4 linked regions of the Arabidopsis thaliana genome follow. The protein of the gene in region 4 interacts with the protein of the main gene of each other region in a pairwise test. Each region holds a gene or a part of one and is shown on either strand. Other genes may lie near its edges. The genes, in order: BSH, FCA, KNAT3 and SWI3B.

What was found.
Region 1: the proteins of SWI3B (region 4) and BSH interact in a two-hybrid assay, tested with the Arabidopsis thaliana proteins (one study listed by BioGRID).
Region 2: the proteins of SWI3B (region 4) and FCA interact in a two-hybrid assay, tested with the Arabidopsis thaliana proteins (one study listed by BioGRID).
Region 3: the proteins of SWI3B (region 4) and KNAT3 interact in a two-hybrid assay, tested with the Arabidopsis thaliana proteins (2 studies listed by BioGRID).

The regions. Positions count from the first base shown.
Region 1 is NC_003074.8:6,016,485-6,021,853, reverse strand, and holds BSH (transcription regulatory protein SNF5, putative (BSH)), read left to right. Parts: upstream 1-2,187; 5' UTR 2,188-2,262; coding exon 2,263-2,312; intron 2,313-2,407; coding exon 2,408-2,502; intron 2,503-2,611; coding exon 2,612-2,706; intron 2,707-3,046; coding exon 3,047-3,118; intron 3,119-3,230; coding exon 3,231-3,278; intron 3,279-3,360; coding exon 3,361-3,444; intron 3,445-3,547; coding exon 3,548-3,586; intron 3,587-3,711; coding exon 3,712-3,794; intron 3,795-3,896; coding exon 3,897-3,959; intron 3,960-4,441; coding exon 4,442-4,541; 3' UTR 4,542-4,642; downstream 4,643-5,369. Other genes in the region: IAA31 (indole-3-acetic acid inducible 31), read left to right, coding at 814-938, 1,036-1,247, 1,346-1,430, 1,519-1,573. UniProt on the Arabidopsis thaliana protein: Component of a multiprotein complex equivalent of the yeast SWI/SNF complex, an ATP-dependent chromatin-remodeling complex, which is required for the positive and negative regulation of gene expression of a large number of genes.
Region 2 is NC_003075.7:9,211,263-9,216,708, reverse strand, and holds the start of FCA (flowering time control protein FCA), read left to right. Parts: upstream 1-1,883; 5' UTR 1,884-2,296; coding exon 2,297-2,630; intron 2,631-2,885; coding exon 2,886-2,956; intron 2,957-3,043; coding exon 3,044-3,122; exon of another isoform or gene 3,123-5,197; coding exon 5,198-5,280; intron 5,281-5,360; coding exon 5,361-5,412; intron 5,413-5,446. Other genes in the region: SPH1 (S-protein homologue 1), read left to right, coding at 574-1,029. UniProt on the Arabidopsis thaliana protein: Plays a major role in the promotion of the transition of the vegetative meristem to reproductive development. Plays a role in the regulation of flowering time in the autonomous flowering pathway by decreasing FLOWERING LOCUS C mRNA levels.
Region 3 is NC_003076.8:8,733,830-8,739,399, forward strand, and holds KNAT3 (homeobox protein knotted-1-like 3), read left to right. Parts: upstream 1-2,114; 5' UTR 2,115-2,378; coding exon 2,379-3,059; intron 3,060-3,334; coding exon 3,335-3,455; intron 3,456-3,543; coding exon 3,544-3,728; intron 3,729-3,805; coding exon 3,806-3,937; intron 3,938-4,015; coding exon 4,016-4,152; intron 4,153-4,246; coding exon 4,247-4,286; 3' UTR 4,287-4,772; downstream 4,773-5,570.
Region 4 is NC_003071.7:14,227,132-14,232,775, reverse strand, and holds SWI3B (switch subunit 3), read right to left. Parts: upstream 3,805-5,644; 5' UTR 3,754-3,804; coding exon 3,591-3,753; intron 3,497-3,590; coding exon 3,087-3,496; intron 3,001-3,086; coding exon 2,590-3,000; intron 2,236-2,589; coding exon 2,109-2,235; intron 2,021-2,108; coding exon 1,890-2,020; intron 1,795-1,889; coding exon 1,627-1,794; 3' UTR 1,368-1,626; downstream 1-1,367. Other genes in the region: CRL2 (NAD(P)-binding Rossmann-fold superfamily protein), read right to left, coding at 4,278-4,410, 4,586-4,775, 4,871-5,036, 5,111-5,296, 5,370-5,539. UniProt on the Arabidopsis thaliana protein: Component of a multiprotein complex equivalent of the SWI/SNF complex, an ATP-dependent chromatin-remodeling complex, which is required for the positive and negative regulation of gene expression of a large number of genes.

The sequences.
Region 1 (5,369 bases), on a different chromosome or scaffold from region 4:
AGACATTAACAGGAAACGTATAGTTAAAGAAAAGAACACTGTCTGCTCCACAAAAACAATATACACAAAACTCTTCAAGTCTACCTTATTTTTATTGGTTCTGCAATTTTCAATGGTCTGTTACATTAATGTGTCATAAGAGACAATTGAGTTTTCTTATCAACAGAAGGGTCTAAAAAATTGATCCCCCAAGTTCATAGTCTATAGACTCAGTTTTTTTCTTTCAAATATTGATGTGTAAGAAAGTGAAAGTGATGTGATGCTCTGTTTCTGTTTACGGCTAGACAATAAAGCCTTTTTTGGCCCTTATCTCTCCTAATTAAAGAATCTGAGCAGTTGAGAAATTAAAATCAAAGCCTTAACAGATTAACTCCAACATCATTTAGACACACTTTCCTTGGATACCACCTTTTTACGGAAACTTCGAATCTTACATGTAAACAAATCTCAAAACCATAATTTCACATTTTTACTACTAACTAACTCCAAAGATCTAAACCCATGAATTAAGTATCTAATCGGGTAATTATTACAGTGGTTTTCAGAAATCAATGTGTGTTCATATTTAGAAGGTTGAAAGTTCATAGTTAAATGTGGGGAACCTTATGTTCCTATTATTTATTTATATTAAATTTCAAAGTCGATTAAATCAATTTTTAAATTCAAAATCTATGCAATAGAATCACCTACTAGTCCTTTTTTGTTTAACTAGACAGAGAGAAATAGAAATAGAGAGAGAGAGACATGAAGAGCACTCTCAATAGAGAAGAGAAGGAAGCATGAAGCTAGCTCTGCAGCTTCAAGGTCTCATTAATGGAGGTCTCTAACTCTTGTTCTTCATTTTCTTCATCCTCTGTCGACAGTACTAAACCTTCTCCTTCTGAATCTTCTGTTAATCTCTCCCTTAGTCTCACATTTCCTTCTACTTCTCCACAAAGGTCTTATTCACATCACTTCTCTGTTTTTTCCTATGTTCTGTTTTTGCTCTGTTTTCTTTTGTTCACATTTGTGTTTTAAATCTTTATTTTTTTGTAGAGAAGCAAGACAAGATTGGCCACCGATAAAGTCTAGATTAAGAGATACACTAAAGGGTCGTCGTCTTCTTCGTCGTGGTGATGACACTTCTCTCTTTGTTAAGGTTTATATGGAAGGTGTTCCCATTGGAAGAAAACTCGACCTTTGCGTATTCTCAGGCTACGAGAGTCTATTAGAAAATCTCTCTCACATGTTCGATACTTCAATCATCTGTAAGTAATTAATGAACAACACATAATTCCGTAAAAACAACATTCAACTAAATTCAAACAGTTTGAAGTATATCCATGCATTGTCTTGGCTATAACAGGCGGTAATCGAGATCGAAAACATCATGTTTTGACATATGAAGACAAGGATGGAGATTGGATGATGGTCGGAGATATTCCATGGGAGTATGAATCTTATATCTTGATCTTACATTGGTATAATTTCCTCGGTTATAGCTATTCTCTAATTTTTGAAATCGATGTTTTTGTTTAGTATGTTTCTTGAAACCGTGAGAAGACTAAAGATCACGAGACCGGAGAGGTATTAAAACTTGGATCGGTCAAGGCTGTGATTGCGCAGTTACGAGACGTGTAAGATTTAGGCATTGATGAAGAGACTTGAGGCGGGACGGAGCTATTGCTGCATATTGCAACAAAGGCCTTGAAGAAGTTGGAGAATTGATTGATGCATATATTTATTTATATGACACCTTTGAGTGTGTTTTTTCTTATAAATAAATCACAATATCCAAGACTTCTCTTTTTTGTTCTGAATAATAATAATGCAAAGATTTTTTATATGTTTGTAATCGTGTGTTTCTTCGAATGTGTTACATGACTAGGAAAAAAGTACACGAACGTTGTTATGGGGAGCACGAACATGGAATAGAGGAACGTTGTCAGGAAGAGAATGATTCTCTTTGATCTGCCGGCAGCCGTCTCGTTGGTTGTCACCAATGTACAATTTTAATGTTGAGCCCATTTAAAGCCCACTAAATGACTAACAAGCTCGTTTAAAGCCCAAATGCTGCAATTGATCGTAGGATCGGATCCAGATAATTCGTCCCAAAATGGGAAAATTCCAAATTAGAGGTGAAATGTGTAAAGACATTAGAATATAAGGGTGATTCTGAAATAAATTAAGCTAGCGCCGGAAAAAGATCGAGAAATTGAAATTTCCCACACTCTCTCGCTGACTCTCTTCGAAACTCAATTTGTGAAATTTGGGGGTTTAAGGATGAAGGGTTTAGTGTCTACTGGTTGGAAAGGTCCCGTCAAGTTCAGGATGTAAGTTTCGTCGCTTCCTCTACTTTGTTTGTTTTGAAATCGAAATCGAGTTCATGTGTTTTTGTTTTTTCTGATGAATCGATTTGTAATCGGAGCTATAGGCCCACTGCTGAAAACTTGGTACCTATTCGATTGGACATTCAATTCGAAGGTCAGCGTTACAAAGATGCTTTCACTTGGAACCCTTCAGGTTTCTCTCTTAAAAACCCTACCTTTTTTTTTGTTTTCCATCTTCTCGCATCTTATTACAGTAGCAGTGTATGTGATTCACTGATTCTTGTTTTTGGTTTTGGATACAGACCCGGATAATGAAGTCGTTATCTTTGCCAAAAGAACTGTTAAAGACTTGAAACTTCCCTATGCATTTGTCACTCAGATTGCCCAATCTATTCAGGTTGTTTCTAAACTAGTTCACACTGACCTATCTTTAGTTTTTCTTCTGCTCTGATTTTGTTGTTAGTTCTTTTGCTTGTCATAGAGATGAGCTTAAATTTAAGGTCACCTATTAGTCTTAAACCAATCACACTTTCGACTTATTGTTTTTAACTCTTTAGGTTTTTTTACTCGAGAAGAGGCCTGTTTATAGCATTGTACTTTGGGATGTATATCTGTAAGACTGTGCTTTTGTGATGAATGTACTCTTGCTTCAGTTATGTTCTGTTCTGTTTTTGTAAGTATTGGAATAATTTCTTCAGAAATCTCTACTTACATTGGTCAACTTCCTGCTTTATCAGTCTCAGCTCTCAGACTTTCGGGCTTATGAAGGACAAGACATGTACACTGGTGAAAAAATCATACCAATTAAGGTTTTATGACGCTAGATATCCTTATCCCTCTCTCTTTTGTCCATGAGTGATTTGTTGGAAAAAAAGAAGTTCTAGAAGCTGATAAGCTATCTTTCTTTCTTTTTTGTGCCAGCTTGATCTCCGAGTTAACCATACTCTCATCAAGGATCAGTTCTTATGGGTGAGAATACTTGGTGATTTTGAACAATTTCAACTATTGTTTGTACTCTTTTTCTCAGTGCAGCTTGATTGCCGTTTTGCAGGACCTAAACAATTTTGAGAGTGATCCTGAGGAATTTGCAAGAACCTTGTGCAAGGATTTAGGTGTTGAAGACCCTGAAGTTGGAGTAAGATAACCACTCAATTTTTTACATTTCATTATCTGAACTAATGAACCTAAGTTTCAAACGTTTGATACAAGTGATTTTTGGTTTCTCCTTCTCTCTGAAGCCTGCTGTTGCCTTTGCAATAAGGGAACAACTTTACGAGGTTAAAACTTTGATTGTAACTTTAAGCTACTCTCTCTGTATTTCTGTATACTCTATATATGTTTTCTATTTTGAACAAGAATGCCAAACTTACTGAGTTACCATGTCGTTGTTTTTGCTTGCCAGATTGCAATTCAAAGTGTGGCTTCAGCTAGGGAGAGTAGATTAAGCAAGAAAGGCCGCAGAGGATCTGATCATGGTTCAGCGAGGTATGTTCACGTTGCCCCTATTTGTCTATCCAAGTTACCTTGTGGTAATATTAGAGCCTAGCTCAAAAAATTCTAAAATAACTTTCCATCTTATATGTGCAGCAAGGCAAGTGGCCTGTCAATGGACTTAATGAAGTTATTCAGTTTTAAGTCCAGTGTAGTTCGGTAAGTGATTTTCTTACCCACTTAATGCATACATTTTCTCTGTTGCATTGTCTTCTTAAGATCTGTTGGACGACTGACTTCTAGCAGCTAGATCGTTTATAAGATAAGTTAACTTTGCGACACATCCTGAGCGTTTTTCTTACACATACTCTTGAATGCCACCTCTTCATGCATTATATCATTTGATAGTAGATTATCCCAATATTTGGAGCTGGTCCCTACTGAGATTGTTCTAATAGTAATTTCTGGTGATGTTACATGTTGTTATTGAACATAGAAAACCGAATCACTAGGTTGGAAATTGTTTGATTACAAAATAAACTCTGTGGAAATTGAAGAAGTTCTCTTCCTGCATTGCTTATCACTAAATGGGAGTTTTTCAAAAAATAAGATTTATGGACACGAACAAATTTGACTTGCAAGACCAAGCAAAAGCTATAACAGAATCCAAAAATAACAAATTTTGTCCATGATCTTGACAGGAAAAGGAAAGACTTGGATGTTTATGAACCAGTTGTGGATCTGCTAACAAGTGAGGAAGTTGATGCGCTTGAAGCCAGGGAAGAGAGACATGCAAGGTGAAGAGTTTCGTTTACATGTATAAATATTTCTTAGGGCAACACTCAAAATATGTTGTATCATGCTTAACTTGAGTTAATGATATTAAGACAATCTTTTATGAGACACATAATCCTTAAGATGCATCCGGTGTGTATGAGTGCCCTGGCCTAAGTATGAGATTTCGGTTTAGTAAACCTGGTTAGGTGAAACACCAGTGGGTGTGGAATGAAGAATCTTTAGATGATATAACCTCAATGGGACATGTTAGGTTTGCAGAGTTGAGTGAAACCATTTCTTCACTCTTTGATTAAGATGTTTCCCAAACTTTGAGCATGTTAAAGAATGTTAGAGAGAGAGTTAGAGGATTAAAAAAAATATAGTAATGAAAGAAAGAAAGAAAAATGAAGGAGATTCAAAGGACAAGACACGTTGTGAGAATCAAGTGACCCACTTGAGACTTTAATAAGATCTCATCATCAACCATTAACCTCACTGTCGATATACGGTCGTACTTTTTCTTCTATTCTCTTCTCTTTGCCCTTTTTTTTTTCTCTTTTTCTTGATTCAATGATTGGGTCCCTCTCTAAGCTCAAGCTGCTGTCATCTAAATTAATTAATATGCGAAAATAAAAATTATTGGGTTTATTTTTGTTGGAAGTTTTGTAATTTTGTGTAGAGATTATTGATCAGTTTTTGGTTGTGTACATTTATGAGTTGTACTTGTGCCCTATCCTTTGAAGGTTACATGGATAAACAAGTTAATGTCTTGAATCGGCTGAGTCTTTATTATAGAATCAATTTGATGAATAAGTTAAAAATTTGAAGCTGGTTTTAATATTCGACACCAAT
Region 2 (5,446 bases), on a different chromosome or scaffold from region 4:
CTATGAATCAAAGATCAAAATTACAATTTGTTATTGGATTTCAACGAATCCAATATATTTTTATTAATCCCAATAAAGTAACGTAAAAGGCAGAATACTTTACTAGTGTTATAATTTATATAGTTAACTAAAATTAGGTTTATGAAATACTATTTTACTAGAAATAAATACCCGATCGACCATGTTGAATTATTATTTTTATACATTAAATTTTTCGATTATATACTTCGAATTCTTGGGTCATAATCTAAATCTAAAAACTAATAACTTTTAAAATTGATTCACATAATAAATTCAAAACTAATAGCTTACACCACAATATAAATTAGTATTTTTTAATCTTAATATATTATGCCACAATCATCTACGTACTTGGATTATTATATGTACTAACCTTTCAGCTTCATTTCTAATTAACATGCAATCACTTAAATGATTTGCAGCATGACTCTTCATTAATGCAATGTAATAACATCAAAATTTAATTAAACGTCAATTACCGTTTCACTCTTCCATTATAAAAAGAAGTAACAAAAAAGTTCTCCCTAAAGATTTTGCTTGCCTGAAAAAAGTATGAATTGCATCAAACAATTTCTCTTGGCAATTTGCTTTTCTCTGGCCCTAACATGTCAAGACCATGTCTTAGTCGGCGGCACCACCACGAGAGACATTATAGTCCCGAAGATTTCTGAGTGGCAAGTCACGGTTGTTAACGGTTTGACAACTGGTGAAACTCTTTTCATCCATTGTAAATCTAAAGAAGATGATCTAGGTGAAATTAATCTGAAGTTTAGAAATAGATTTTCTTGGAACTTCGGAGAAAATATGCTTCACTCAACTTTTTTTTGGTGCTATATGAACAAAGATAATGGTCATATGAATGTAAACGTGTTTTGGGATGATGTTATCTTGTTCCATAGATGCGGTTGGAAGAATTGCATTTGGACTGCAAAAACTGATGGCCTTTATCTTTGGAATTCAGCGAGCGGTGAAGATGTATTGTCAAGAAAATGGGAAGTTGGATGGTGAAGCCATATTTTTGCTTTTTGGTAATTTTTTAGTACATGTATCTTGTTGTTTTTGGCAAAAAAAAAATTGAAATAATAAAAAACATTTGTTTTAACTTTCTCTCTTATTTTGTGTATTTTTCATCAATGATAGATTTTTTGTTTTAGTTCTTTATTTATAGGTCATTTAATTATTAGATTAATTTTCTGAGATAATAAGATCATAGATTAAATAACAATATTGTGTTTGTGATATATAGAGATTACATTTTACACTTATATATATTGGTAAGATTTCTTTTTGCTTTCAAACCATTAAAAACCTGTTAAACGATTAACTTGACTCAAGACAAAGCCATTGATTATTGACTCATGAATCTAGTGACTCATGATGAAGGAGACGAACAGTAAATATTCATTTGATTATTTTAGGTAAAAGGTAGTTCAGACCTAGTCATATATCCTCTAAATTCATATAGTGATGCAAGTATTTTGCATTACTTAGAACTTTATATTATTGATCACCCAACACATGATTTAATAAACGCCATGAAATGCATGTACTATATCAAAATGTTTCTGAAGCATATAGTTGACATGAGAATTTTGGATTGGACTTAAGAATGTGAGAGTTACCTGAAATGTCAATTTTTTTCCTTTTGTTAACGAAAACTCATTGGAACAATTGTATCCCCCTTTTGGCAGTATATAAATATATTGATGGCCCAAGTAGCTGTATTTTTCGTTATCAGCCAAGACTCAATAAAGTCTACCGGTCCAAATTTCAACTGAATCACCGGTCCAACCACTATTACCGTAACTAGACCGCTTTTTCTTTTTTACATTCGGACAAAAAAATCAAAATTTCGAGCAACTAAATTGATCTCATCTTCAATCAAATTCATCATCTTCGATACTCGTTTCTTCTCTCTTTGGTTTCATACAGATCCCAAATTTCTAGGGCTCCTAGTCCTTTGATTTCTTCGACTGGAATCGCAATTCCCCACTACGTCAAGCTGGACAGACACCGAAGGGATCGCCATGAGAGTGGCGGCTACGAGGATTCCTACCATAACCACCGAGCCCATCCCAGAGGTCCATCTCGTCCCTCAGATTCACGCTTCGAAGAGGATGATGATGATTTTCGCCGCCACCGTCGTCGTCGTGGAAGCAGCCCTAGCAATTATCGAATTGGAATTGGGGGCGGAGGAGGAGGTAATGGTGGTCGACGCTGGGAAGATGACACTCCTAAGGATTTTGATGGTCCCGGAGATGGAGGTTTCCGGCAGATGAATGGTCCCCCAGATAGAGTAGATTTTAAGCCTATGGGTCCTCACCATGGTGGAAGTTTTCGGCCTATGGGGTTTGCCTACGATGATGGTTTTCGTCCAATGGGTCCTAACGGTGGTGTGGGAGGAGAAGGGACACGGTCAATTGTTGGAGCTCGGTATAACTATCCCGCGAAGTATCCTCCTTCAGAGAGTCCAGACAGGAGGAGATTTATCGGTAAAGCAATGGAGTCTGATTATTCTGTAAGACCGACTACACCGCCGGTCCAGCAGCCTCTTTCCGGTCAGAAAAGAGGGTATCCTATCTCAGACCATGGCAGCTTTACTGGAACTGGTAAGCATGAGTTCACTCTTCTTTCTTCTATGTATATTTATTCTTGTAGTCTGTTAAGGTTCCTGAGTGTCTCTTATTTTTGTGGGAATCAATGATTAGAGTATTGAAAGGTAGTATGGTTGTTATGTTACTGTATTGTTGAAGGTTTTTCATGGGATCGACTCTAGAGGATCCTTTCGATTTTCCCATGTATGTGATAATCAAAACTATATGCCATCTTCATGTGTATCCTTATCTGGTTAATTTGATTTGCAGATGTCTCTGATCGTAGCAGTACAGTCAAGCTTTTTGTTGGATCTGTACCAAGGACAGCTACAGAAGAAGAAGTGAGTTAATCTTGGAAATCATTGTTATCTATATACTCATTACTGAGAACCTTTTCTAAATTTTTTCTGTTGGTTTTCATATTGTAGATCCGTCCCTATTTCGAACAGCATGGAAATGTTCTGGAGGTTGCTCTGATCAAGGACAAGAGAACTGGACAGCAGCAAGGTATGTCAATCTCCATTTTATTAGGAAATAGTCGTGAATTATACTTTTTAAAATTTCAGGTCTCCCTGAAAAGGCTGATGGGAAGCAACCCCAGTCTCATCATTGGCCTCCAATTGTTTGCAACAATTTTCGGGCTTATTGCTTATGCTTGCCAGCGTCTTATCTGTGTTCGATTCTGTCACAGAAGAAGGCTACCTGTGCTAAGAAAGGGTTTATGTACTTATGTTGGGCAAATAGATTTCGCTACTTGTGTGTATTCTAGAACTTTAGATGTGTTTGAAAAGTGTAGAATTTATTGAGGGTGTTTTAGAGTTGGAGTTAATGTACAGAGAACTGAATTTTGCTGTTGCCTTTATAGTGGGAATTGGTTATAAGAACATCGCTATTTTCCTCTCCTATTGAAATTCATTTTCTTTACTCTTCCTCTAGATGGATTGAAGATGTTGTGTATGGTCTTGACAGGATGAATGTATTTTTTTAAGTTGGTAGTTTGATAAGGACATGAGGTTCAAAAGATGGTTTCTTGATTTGCCACTCCTGCTGGTCAAAGATTTGGCCGTCTTTCTAATTTTATCATGTTGGAGGTTTGGCGTCTTCATTTTCTTTCATATCAATTTATGGGTGTGCTGTCTATTGGTTAATGATGGCATTCCTTTTACCTTTTTGGATGAGTGATGCTGGAATGAATGCGTTTCTCCTTTTCTTTTGTTGATGGCCTGAGGAACTATGATGGCTATATTTCTTTCCACTCTCTTTGAATGGCCTGAAATGTGTGCTTTCTGTATGGTCGTCCCTCTCAATTTCTTGGATGGCTTGTGATGTGATATACCATCTCTCGTCATAGGTGAATGAATGATTTGTTTAGTAGTTCTTATGTATGTATTTTGTATGTTCCCACGTCTCTATTCCTTGGATGGCTTGTGATGTGATATACCATCTCTCGTCATAGATGAATGAATATTTTGTTGAGTAGCTCTTATGTCTGTATGGTGGCCCTTGCAGTGCTGATCGATATTTATGTGGAAGAAATGTTTGATGATAGATTTTTTTTGTATGCTCCCTTTTCGCTAATCAAGCCTTTGTGCTTGCAAGGTGCAACTGTTATTTTATTATTGAATTTCCTGTTCTACTACTCCATTTAGTTCTGTCTCTATTTTGTCAGTGTGAAGAAATACTAGACGATGAATGGTGTGTTTGTACGTGCATAGTTATTTATAAATTCTTGACTTTCCAAGAAGTTATTATTTCTATAACTGCTACACCTTTGTGGATGGCAGAACAAATGCATCTGATTGTGGTGACATAAACACTTTTGATCGCGGTTGAATGTACTAGATTCCATACAACTCTTTCTTCAGCCTTGTGAAATATTATTATGTTAGGTGGTGCAAACATATGGAAGGAACCTGATTGTTTTAGTTTCTTAGAATAGTTTCTGATGTTAATACAGCATGTTGACTTCACTCTCTTGCCCTTGATCAATCAGCATCAGGCAGGGGCCTAATTATGTATTACATGAAGCAATCGTATTCTTTTCTGAATTAGATTTTTTTCCAATGAGTTATCTTGCCCATAACTGTAGTTCTTTATTTGAAGTCTTCAAATGCTTGATGTATGGTGACGAAAATGTGTATATGTTTTGGTTTTGATTATCCGCTACTCATCAATTATTGAGATTCTTACATACTGAATCCGTTACTTTGGACCTATAGTTATGTTTTATGTTGCTAATTAACTTGTACATGTTTCTAGATTTTCTTTCAAATGGATCCTGCTTGGACAAATGCAGCCACCCTTTGTCTGAAAGGCCCTCTTGTAGATATGTTATCTGCAGATACTGACTGTGTTCAATTTTTTAATATTTGTTTTTGCCATATTCTCCATTTGAAGACATTAATTTATTCTCTCCAACAACTTTACATCAATATTTAAGTGGAGGCTGTCAGACATGTCTTATGATTTTCCTACTGAACTTATGTGCTTTGAGTAGTACATCTTGTTACTAGTACAATTTGATGGTAGAAGGAAAAGTTGAACCCTGAAACAGATAGCTTAAGTATCAGTCTTTAATGCAGGCTGTTGTTTTGTAAAATATGCAACTTCGAAAGATGCGGATAGAGCCATCAGAGCACTGCACAATCAGATCACTCTTCCTGGGGTAATTACCCTGAGGCTTTCTCTTATCAAGAACAGGAAACTATAGGTTGTTTCACCTTTTATAATTTTGTTGATTCCCAGGGAACTGGTCCTGTTCAAGTTCGATATGCTGACGGGGAGAGAGAACGCATAGGTAATCAACTTCCACACAGAGTATCTAATGTGGC
Region 3 (5,570 bases), on a different chromosome or scaffold from region 4:
AATAAATTGATTTATGTAATGATTGGACACATTTGATGAAGTGGTTTCTTGAAAATAAGACTTTGGATGGATGCAGTGTGGACAAACCGGTATAATTTGTTTGCGGTTTAGTTTATCTGGCAGACAAAAAACCGTTGCAGACCAAGTTTATTTGTATGTAAAAATGGTCTGCAGATGGTCCGTTGCGGTTTTCTTCTATTTTTTTTAGATCACTACGAACTATAATTAATAAATAATAAATAAAAAACGGTATGATCCGTTGACGGTTTTATCCGCCCCAACCGCCATAACCATTCAAATCCTAAATAAAAACGGTTTTGATAATATAAGAACCAGCCCAAAGATGAAGTTATATATGTGACTATGTTAACACACATTTATAGTATGAGTTAACCTAGACCTATTTGCGTCTCACTTCTTATTAAATGCTAAAAATTTACCAAAAGGACGCTATTCATCACAATTAAGTTTAAATCTCTAAATTAATTGATCGTTTAAGTTTTTAACCAAACTCAAATAAATAAAAAAATATACGATAACTTTTATTGTGACGATCGAATATACTACCATCAAATTTTATACCAAATTTCTGTTTCGTAGCATGTACGAAAATTTTCACTCCAAAAAAAATCTAAAAATTATATTTACCAAAAACTGTGATTTCAGAAAATTATGTGATTTTAAAGAACCAGTGATTTCTCAAATTATATTATATGAAATGATTATTATTATTTTAAAAAGGTGAAAGGGTGAAGCAAAAAAATAGTGTGCATAAACAAATAAGCTAATTTGTTTTCTGGTACTTAGGTCTTTTAAATCCATATAAATAAATTCTTAAAAGATTGTTTTATTTCAAATCTTTAACCTAAAATTGTAACTTTAAATTCATGATTAAATTTTTTGTTTTCAATAATTTCTCGTAACTTCATTACATAAAACGAGAAGGATTTATAATAGGTAAAGGCGTGAAGCAAAAAATAATTGTATAAATAAATAAGTTAAATTTGTTTCATAGTGCCATAAAATTACACTAACATCTGAACGTGAAACGCACGCGCTTCTTCATATCATAGATACGTTGCGTCTTAAAACACAACACGTAGCAACTCTTTTTAAAAAGGAAAAATACATTTATTATTCCCAACAATAAAAAAAATCAAACACAGTCGAAGAAGGCAACGACCTTTCGCAGCCGTCAGATCTTAATAAATACAGTCGCCACTAAAATTTAACGACATAGATCGAACCATGACGACCTACTTTCTTTAATTAATTTTCTGTCGTGACCTAATCTTCTATTTGTTGTTTCATTAGTCACTTACTTTTATATTTATTCTTTCTTAGGTCTATGTGGACCAAAGTGATTGGAAAAGAAAAAAAAATACATTTTTGTCAACCATAACTAAATTATCTTATTTTCTCAAATGCACTGTTTATTATGTAGCGTACTGATTTATTAAATACTTTTGCTTTCTATGGTTAATTTATGATGTCGGATTTTTATCTTTCCCCCAATAATAATATCACTATAGAAGAAAGTTTACAAATTCTTAGTTAAATCAAAAAAGATTTTATCAGTTGATTTGATTATACGAGGTGACATCAATTTTTGTCTTCTTTAACAAAAAAAATCAATTTTTGTTTTCTTTAACAAAAAAAATCAATTTTTGTCTTACTTTTTAATTAGCATTTAGAAAAATATTTAACAAATAAAAGTTCTCATAAGCGATTTTTAAAAAAATGTTTTGTTTTTACTATCTTTCAGTTTTTTTTTTTAAATTAATTTTCTAAAAAAACACATATATTAAAAAACATATTAAAACTAATTATAAACATATTATCTTTTGTGATTTATATTTTTTTATAATTCTAAACCAATGATATTCAATTATTTATCTTAAAATTAAAAATTTATCAATAATAACTAATAAATAATGTATAGAAAATTTAAAAATTATTTTTTTTAAAACAATTTTTTTCCTCTAAAAAATTAAATAATAAGGAATAGAGAAGGAATATTTTTTTATCTAATAAATTCCATATAATAATTCAATTATATTGATAAATAGGTTGCAAAAAATAAGAAAGAATAAATATGAGAATAAATGGTCATCTCTCGATCTCTCAGCTCTGTGCAACTCTGAACACACCCACACATATATACTCAGATACATACATACACACCACAAAAACCAATTATTTTCCAATTTTAAGAAAAGTTTCTGTGTCTTTTTTTTTTTTTTTGGTGATAATTGAAACATATGAAACAATCGTCGTCATAGAAGCAGCAGAGATTCACCTTCTTTCTTTATCTTTCCCTCTCAGAAACAGGAAACAAAATTCAAAAAGAACAAAAAAAAAAAGGTCAAACCAAAACGATGGCGTTTCATCACAATCATCTCTCACAAGACCTCTCCTTCAATCATTTCACCGACCAACACCAACCTCCACCTCCGCAACCGCCTCCTCCTCCTCCGCAACAGCAACAACATTTCCAAGAAGCACCGCCTCCTAATTGGTTAAACACAGCGCTTCTTCGTTCCTCAGATAACAACAATAACTTCCTCAACCTCCACACAGCCACCGCTAACACCACAACCGCAAGCAGCTCCGATTCTCCTTCCTCCGCCGCCGCCGCCGCCGCTGCTAACCAGTGGCTATCTCGCTCCTCCTCTTTCCTCCAACGAAACAACAACAACAACGCTTCCATAGTCGGAGATGGGATCGATGATGTCACCGGAGGAGCAGACACTATGATTCAGGGAGAGATGAAAACCGGCGGTGGAGAAAACAAAAACGACGGCGGAGGAGCTACGGCGGCGGATGGAGTAGTGAGCTGGCAGAATGCGAGACACAAGGCGGAGATCCTTTCGCATCCTCTTTACGAGCAGCTTTTGTCGGCGCACGTTGCTTGTTTGAGAATCGCGACTCCGGTTGATCAGCTTCCGAGAATCGATGCTCAGCTTGCTCAGTCTCAACACGTCGTCGCTAAATACTCAGCTTTAGGCGCCGCCGCTCAAGGTCTCGTCGGCGACGATAAAGAACTTGACCAGTTCATGGTATATAAATTTCAGATTTTTTTGTTCTATAATTTTATAATTAACGATTTCATAATTATACTTAGCACAAATTTTAATAATACACACCGACTTAGGTTTCTTGATTTTTGAAATCTTAAAATATTAAAATCAAGATTTGTGTTTTTAGGGATAAACAAGACTAAAATCCCAAAAAAAGAGCTTATGATATAATAATGGTCATGATGATGAAGAAAATACAAATTTTGTTCTTTGTGTTTATTGTGTGTTTGATTAATGTTTTTTTTATGGTGTAGACACATTATGTGTTGCTACTGTGTTCATTTAAAGAGCAATTGCAACAACATGTGCGTGTTCATGCAATGGAAGCTGTGATGGCTTGTTGGGAGATTGAGCAGTCTCTTCAAAGCTTAACAGGTGAGAAAATGAATCCTGTGATTAGCTCATGAATCCAATAGTTAGTTTTATGACATTGACAAGTTTTGTGTTTTATTGGTGAGATTAGGAGTGTCTCCTGGAGAAGGGATGGGAGCAACAATGTCTGACGATGAAGATGAACAAGTAGAGAGTGATGCTAATATGTTCGATGGGGGATTAGATGTGTTGGGTTTTGGTCCTTTGATTCCTACTGAGAGTGAGAGGTCGTTGATGGAAAGAGTTAGACAAGAACTTAAACATGAACTCAAACAGGTAATAATCAACAAACTTGTTCTTTGAACTAGTTCATGAACTAACAATGTAGAGGGCTTTGTCTTGTTGATGAAAAGGGTTACAAGGAGAAGATAGTAGACATAAGAGAGGAGATATTAAGGAAGAGAAGAGCTGGGAAGTTACCAGGAGATACCACCTCTGTTCTCAAAGCTTGGTGGCAATCTCATTCCAAATGGCCTTACCCTACTGTGAGTTCACTCATCTAACATCTCTTTATAACTTCTTCAAGTTCATTCATTGAGCCATAACCAAATATTGGTTTGTAGGAGGAAGATAAGGCGAGGTTGGTGCAAGAGACAGGTTTGCAGCTAAAACAGATAAACAATTGGTTCATCAATCAGAGAAAGAGGAACTGGCATAGCAATCCATCTTCTTCCACTGTATTGAAGAACAAACGCAAAAGGTATTATTATACTTTAATATAGTCTTGTAACATAACCGAAAAACTTATGGATCGGACTCAAAGAAGACTGAAACTTTTGTTTGTCTGATGAAAGCAATGCAGGTGACAATAGCGGAAGAGAGCGGTTCGCGTAGAAACAACAAACATATGATGTGAATTGGGGAGGTGGAAGATGGGATTTGAAAGCAGGGTTTTAGGGATTTAAAGTTGAGAATTTTATGGAGGAGTTTGGATTATACAGAGAGAGGGGACAGTATTAGAAAGTAACTTTTTGTGCAATTACATAGTAACGTAGTTTGGTTATGTGATTATGCCCATATATTTTATTAAGTAGCACACAAACCAAAAAGAAAATATGAAAACTGAAGATGCAGGCTTTTGTTTAATGTTTTTTGTTTGTTTGTCTGCATGAGTTTTTTTTTTATGAACCATCAGATAATCATCATCATCATCCATAATATATCTTGTGAATAAAGATAGTGAGAGAGGAGAACATTGGGATGCACAAGTTTTCTTAATCTACTAGTATATGTTACGCATTGACCAGGTGCATATGTTAATTTGTATCGCACCACTTGGTTAGCTTAATCTATGTGACTATTATACAGTATATGTTTCGCATTAACCGTACTTAACCCATCTTATGATTCTTATCCGCTTAGTTCGTAGTATTTATTGCGATGTCACATTCCAACTCGTGATATTGGCTTGATAAGTAAAAGACATTATACATGGTAGATGACGACAAAAAATAAAACATACCCCATCTTACATAACGTAGCTTGCTGCGTACTTTTGTAATTGTAATAATTTGAAACGTGTTCTTTTTTCTAGTCAAAATTGTTTGTTTATCCTCATCTTGTTGTTTCGTTTGTCACGTTTGTGATAGCCACAAGTTACTGTAAGTTTTCGGCGAGATTTTTCTATCGATCACGGAGAGATTCTGCACACATTAACAAAGATAATTAGAGTGTCCTTAAGTATTTTGGTCGCCTCTCTATTAGAGGACCATACAAAGTTCAAAGACTAGTCTCATGAGAAGCCCATTAGTACATTAGATTAAATCTAGGAAAGTAGATTCATATAAGTAGTTTTGTAATGAACATCAAAGTTGTTAACTTAGAGAATTGTCATTTGGATTGTATAAATGGTTTGATAAACGAAGTCTAACATTAGTATGTGTTAGTCTTCTAAATTCAAATAATAATCGGAGTTTTGGTCTCTTGGACGATGCTTCACAGTGATATTCAAAAGTTTACCGTTATCACCCACCAACTAGAGAAGCCAAATTAGGTCTTTTACCAACTGTAGGGTAAAGAACTGTCTTCATGTAATCATTATAACCACCACCATCTTGTTATGCTTTGTTTCTTCTTCAAATTGCAGCTTTCAATATACAACCCGGTTTACGTTCTGGT
Region 4 (5,644 bases):
CCACATGATAAGTATGTCAAATAGAAGGGAAGCAGGTGTAGAAGGCCACATTCGAATAGCTGAAAACTCAAGCTACCAATAGAGAGTGCAAACTAAACTATGGCAAAGATGTTCCTCTTTCTTTCACTTGATGGCAAATACAAGAAGAGTTCCGTCACGCAAAAACCGGCTTAATAATCAAATAGTAAGATTGTTACCTATGACATATGACACACGTACATATATTAAATAAAACCTAAACAACAAAGCTAACTTTCTATTAATGTGCCTCTTTTTTCCAATCAAACTTAATATTTCATTAATAAAAAAGCTTAACCTAGATAAAAAGAGAAATAGAGGATACATCAAAGGTACAAGGAACCGAACCAACCAACACAACAACCAGCAAAGTGATCGCATAAGAAAAAAAAAAGCTAAAACTTAGCAACAAAGCTCAATTAGAGACATGCAGATAACGAGATAAAGGCTGAACTAAAAAATTCTACCAAAGCAGAAACTAATTATAAAGGCCATCAATAAAGTAGTTATGATAAGTTATTTACCTCTATATATTTTTATTTTTTATATTGGGAAATTGTTTAGAATGCAGTATTAATATGTACATAATATATTATGGTTTATATTTTGAATTTAAGATGTAAATTGATCTTTTTAAAAAGAAAAAATAGAGTTTAAATATTTACGAAGAATGGATATTTACTGAATTTTTAGTTAAATATAAAAGATTTTATATTGTACGAGTTTAATATATAAATAAATTGGGTTTGGTTTCCCGATGGGGAAGAAAGAAAAATACACTCTCTTTGTTTCTAATAAATTGATGTTCTACCACTTTTAACTTGTCCCACAAAAAAAACATTTTCGTTTTTTCTTTATTTTTTTTAAATATCACTCACTCCTTTCTAAATTAGTTATGTTTTAGAAATTAAATTTTGTATTAAATTAGTTATCGTTTTATATTTTCAATGCATGTTTTTGAAAGATTTTCCAAAAGAAATTCTTATTGTTTTGGCTGATTAATTGATGATATGATATTAAATAACACATTAATTAGAGATAAAACAGAAAATTCAATGTTTTTTTAGTTTGTCTGAAAAACCTGAACTAGTAAAGTTCAAGATAAAATGATTGAAATTTGTTAGACTGCTATTGGTTTATAGTTATTGAAAATGTTTAATATAACAAACAATACAGAAATGATTAATTAATGACTGTTTCTTAATATAAAAACCATCACTCTTTTAGCAACAAAGAGAGTAATCATGTTACGGAGATACAAAAAAAACATCGGTAACTTAACAACATTTGAAGATTAACCTATTTAGTGAAAACAAAATCTATCTTTTATATCGGATATCTCCAAAACCCTGACATTTTCTATTGTTTCCAAAAGAGCAAAATTAATTTTTAAAACTTTTCCACTTGTGATTGCCTGATAAAGACAAAAATTATACTTCGACGCAGTTGCCATTTGGTTTTGACTTTTATACCAACCCAGCCTTATTTATACCAATTCGATCTCATCTCATTTTGTTACCAACACATCTCAAGTACACTACAATACAAGTCATCTTCTTAACCAGACAAGAATCAAATAAGAAATAACAGTTTCAAATTAAGTGCGTTCTAACACTCTATTCTATCTTCAGTTTTCCGGGCTTTTCTGGTGTGGAAGAAAATGTTTAATTGATCAACGAAAAGCAGATTCCTCACCTCCTCCAATTGTTTCCGGCTTCTCTCCATTTCCAAATCCAATTTCTCGAAATGAACAATCCTATCTCGGATCTTCTTCATCTGTTAATCCCAAATTTTGTTTGTTCCAACATAAATCATCATTGAGTATAACCATATAATAAAAAGTCTATGGAAAGTTGCAGATTGTTACTAACCTCAACTTCAACAGTCTCTTTGATTGCTCCTTCTACCTCATGCTCTTCCTTCTCAATTAAAGACTTTGCATCTGCCCAAGCTCTTTCAGATTCGTTTCTAGTGGTTTCACCACTCGATGCAGCATTGGCATCTGTGTATCAGGAAAACAAAACTGTCACTATTGGGTTTGGCTTAGGACAGAAATGGACTGCAAATAGAGACAGCTTGGTCTTTGATACCTTGTCGATTTGGGTCTCTACTGGCGTTTTTGTCAGCCTCGTAGTCTACATCAGATAAAGCTCTCACTGCCGCTCGAGCTGCTGCTTCTGCAACATTTGTGCCAGCCAAAGCTGAAAGAAAAGCAGCCTGAAGAGGACATGATAGGATAAATCTTATTCAGAGACAGCCAATGAAGCATAACAATTGAGGTGTGATAACACAGTACAGAATTATCTAACACATATTTGATTCTTAAATGCCTTATATATGTCAACTAGGGTTTGTTATTACTAGATTTCAAAGTAAGCCCCACAAGGTATTCTAGATTTAGGTTCTTTAAGGAGACAAAAACGCAAGTCGTGGAACAGCCTAGTGCAGACACTGGACTATTCTTCAGTAGCCTAACAATGTAAAAGCATTTCCACGCATGTTGAAGACTTATACAAATAAGATTAACATAGAGAGAGAACGCAACTACTCAAATTGTAGTGTCTTTCTAACCTGAGCCATTATTGGGTTGCTTGCATCTGCAAGAGGTGTTAATTTGATCCGCTTGTTGGGAGAAGAACCGTCTTTATCTATTCCTTCAGATTCAGGAATATCAGAGTCCTTGATCTGATCAAACATCTCTAAACCATCCTCAGAGTCAGACTCTTTTACAAACTGTTCCCCAAACGGAAGCTTGACAAACTGAGAAACACAATCCTTCTCCGTTCTACCAATAACATGCGATGCAACCTTCTTCCAATCATCTCCATAGTGCATAACAGCTTCCAGCAGCAGCAGAATTTCCTTATCAGACCACTCTGGCTTTGACTCCTCACTAATCTCAACTCGTTTAAACTCCGAGGAGTTAATACCAACACGATAATTACTACGAACATAGCACCTCGCACACAATGTCAAGTCATACTGAAAACAAAAATGTACATAATCATTCTAAGTGACAAACTCAGTGAATGAAATTATTACTATGGCTACAAATTATGAAATCAAACCTTATCACAGGCGAAACAAGCTATGCTGCAAATTGCTTTGCAGCCATTGCAGTTTCTCTTGGCAGTTTCTTTGACAGTTGTGGCTGGCTCAGAAGCAGCATCTCCGGCGGATTTTCCGGCCTCTTTTTCTTCCCACTTGAGCGGCTTAGCAGAGGCGGAGCTATTATAGTTGATAAGTCCCCATGAATCGAGGAAATCAAAGACGCGACGAATAGAGACAACATCACTGACGAGAGTTCTCCGAACGTCAGTGAAACTAATCTTCCGAGGATGGTCGTCTCTGTACTGCTTAATAATCGAGTTCCTCAAGTAGAGATAAAACTTAGGGTTTTTGGATGAAGATCTCGAATCGAAAAATTCCGGCAGTGACCGGACCTCGCAATCGTTAATGTCGGTCCATGAAAACCAACCTAATTGGTTAAATAGACGGTACAAGTACAAAATCCGTAAGAAACAGTGAAGAAAGTAGAATAAATCAAAGTTTTCTCGGCGTTGCAGACTTACTGGAGTAGCTAGGTACGTGAATATTATCGATATCGGAAGAAGAAGACGGCAATTGAGCCGACTTAGAAGCTGCTGCGGCGCCTCCAGACGTAGTTTCGGAAAGAGAGGGAGTGCTCGGGAGAATTTCCCCAGATCCGCCGGGATCGGGAGCTTTCATGGCCATGACTCTCTGTTTAACTAACGCAACTTCGCCGGAGAAGGAAGAGGGAAAAGAGAATCTAGCTATCGAGATGGGCAAAGTTAAAAAAAAAGTCGGATATCTAAACGGGCCTGGTTTGGGCCCTAATACAGGTCCATTAACCTGGCTTTAGTTGTTAAATATTGCGAATGTTTTTTTAGTCCCATGGTCAGCCAAGATGTAGTGCATCTGCTACGCTAGGCTTAGAGGTTAATTCGAATGGTGAAGTTGTGCGTTACTGATTTCATGTATTAATGGTGAAGTTATCCTTTGTAAGTAGGTAGAAATTGGAACGTATCAAAGAGATATTGGAACATAGTTATGGAAGGAGTAATTGTAGATTGGTCATAAAAGTAATGGTGTCTAAGAAAGTAACAAAAACTCAGAAGTTCATGATGGAAAATATGTTGCACAACTCTTATTCTTGAGTAAAAGATGAAAGAGCGTGTGCAGATAGGAACACTTAACACATGGACCCAAAACACTCATATGCTATTCGTTCCCAGTTTTCAGTCCACAAGCTTAGCTTTGCGGTAGCTCTCAACAGAATCCACAAGTGTTTCCTCCAACGGCCGGTAAGTCCAACCCAACTTCTGCAACTTCTCTGAACTCACCTTCACTTTTCCATCCGCTTCGATGTATCTGATATTGGATAAGTAGAATTTAGATCAAAGGTAAGGTCTAAAAGAAACTTCAGAGACATTGATGTAAAGGTAAGTGACACTGTTTACTGATGAAAGTAACAAAAACAGCTTATTAAGGTTTAAAGGTTTTCACTCAAATTGGGTAGAGAGATGTGCAGCTGTTGTTTGCTTACCTCTTTGGGTAGTTGTAATTTAGATAAAGACTTTTCAGCTTCTCAGCGACTTCTTGTTCCCTAACCGTGTGGCCTATGCAGATGTACCTTCCTTCAGCTTCTGCTTTCTCATAAACCAAAAGTAAAGCTTGAGCCACATCACGCACATCTACCAAATGCCGTTCTTGGTTATTACGCGATTCATAACCCTCTGCACCACACTTAAGTATAAAATCAATACCAACTCATATACCAAGTTGCTGCTTCTAACAATCCCAGATGAAATGAGAGGCTTGTTTATAATACCTTTAAGAAGCTTGAGAAGAACAAGGCTACTAGCATTTACTGTGTGCTGCTGCAATACAGGTCCCAAGACAAGGGTAGGGCAAACACTGACGAGATCAAGTCCGGTTCGTTTTGCAAATTCGAAAGCTTCACTTTCTGCTCGTGTCTTTGACAAAGAATACCAATTCTGCCAGAGGGACGAAAGTCAGATTTAAAAGAAGAAAAAAAAGTGAGATGAGGGATTCAAGATGCATTATTAACCTCAGTTTTTTTGCAATAATCTTGGTCAGACCAAGCGGTCTCATCTAACACTTGACTCTTTGACCACATAGGGTTCATAGCAACTGCAGATACAGAGGAAACATACACAACACGCTTAACTTTTGCTTCAACGCATGCCTTAAGCACATTCAGCGTACCATCCACTGCAGGTGCGATCAAATCTACCTGCAAAACCAGTGAAACCATAGTGAGACAATGCATATAGCCACCAATGAGATTGTAAAAATGAAATCCTCACCTCAGGATTAGGGACTGAAGCAGATGGAACAGGGCAAGCGACATGGAAGACGCCGCTGCAGCCAGCAATAGCAGATTGAAGAGAGCCGTAGTTGAGCAAATCAGCCTTGAAGAGCTTGAGTTTGTCACCAGCTTTATCAAGCTTCTTCAAATGAGCATACTTTTCATTACCTATAACAAGAACCATGCGAAACTCTTCATCAGAACAATAGACAAACTCAAAAGGCTTAATCTTCTGTCTGTAGACAGAAACATCGGAGCTACAAAAAGAATTGG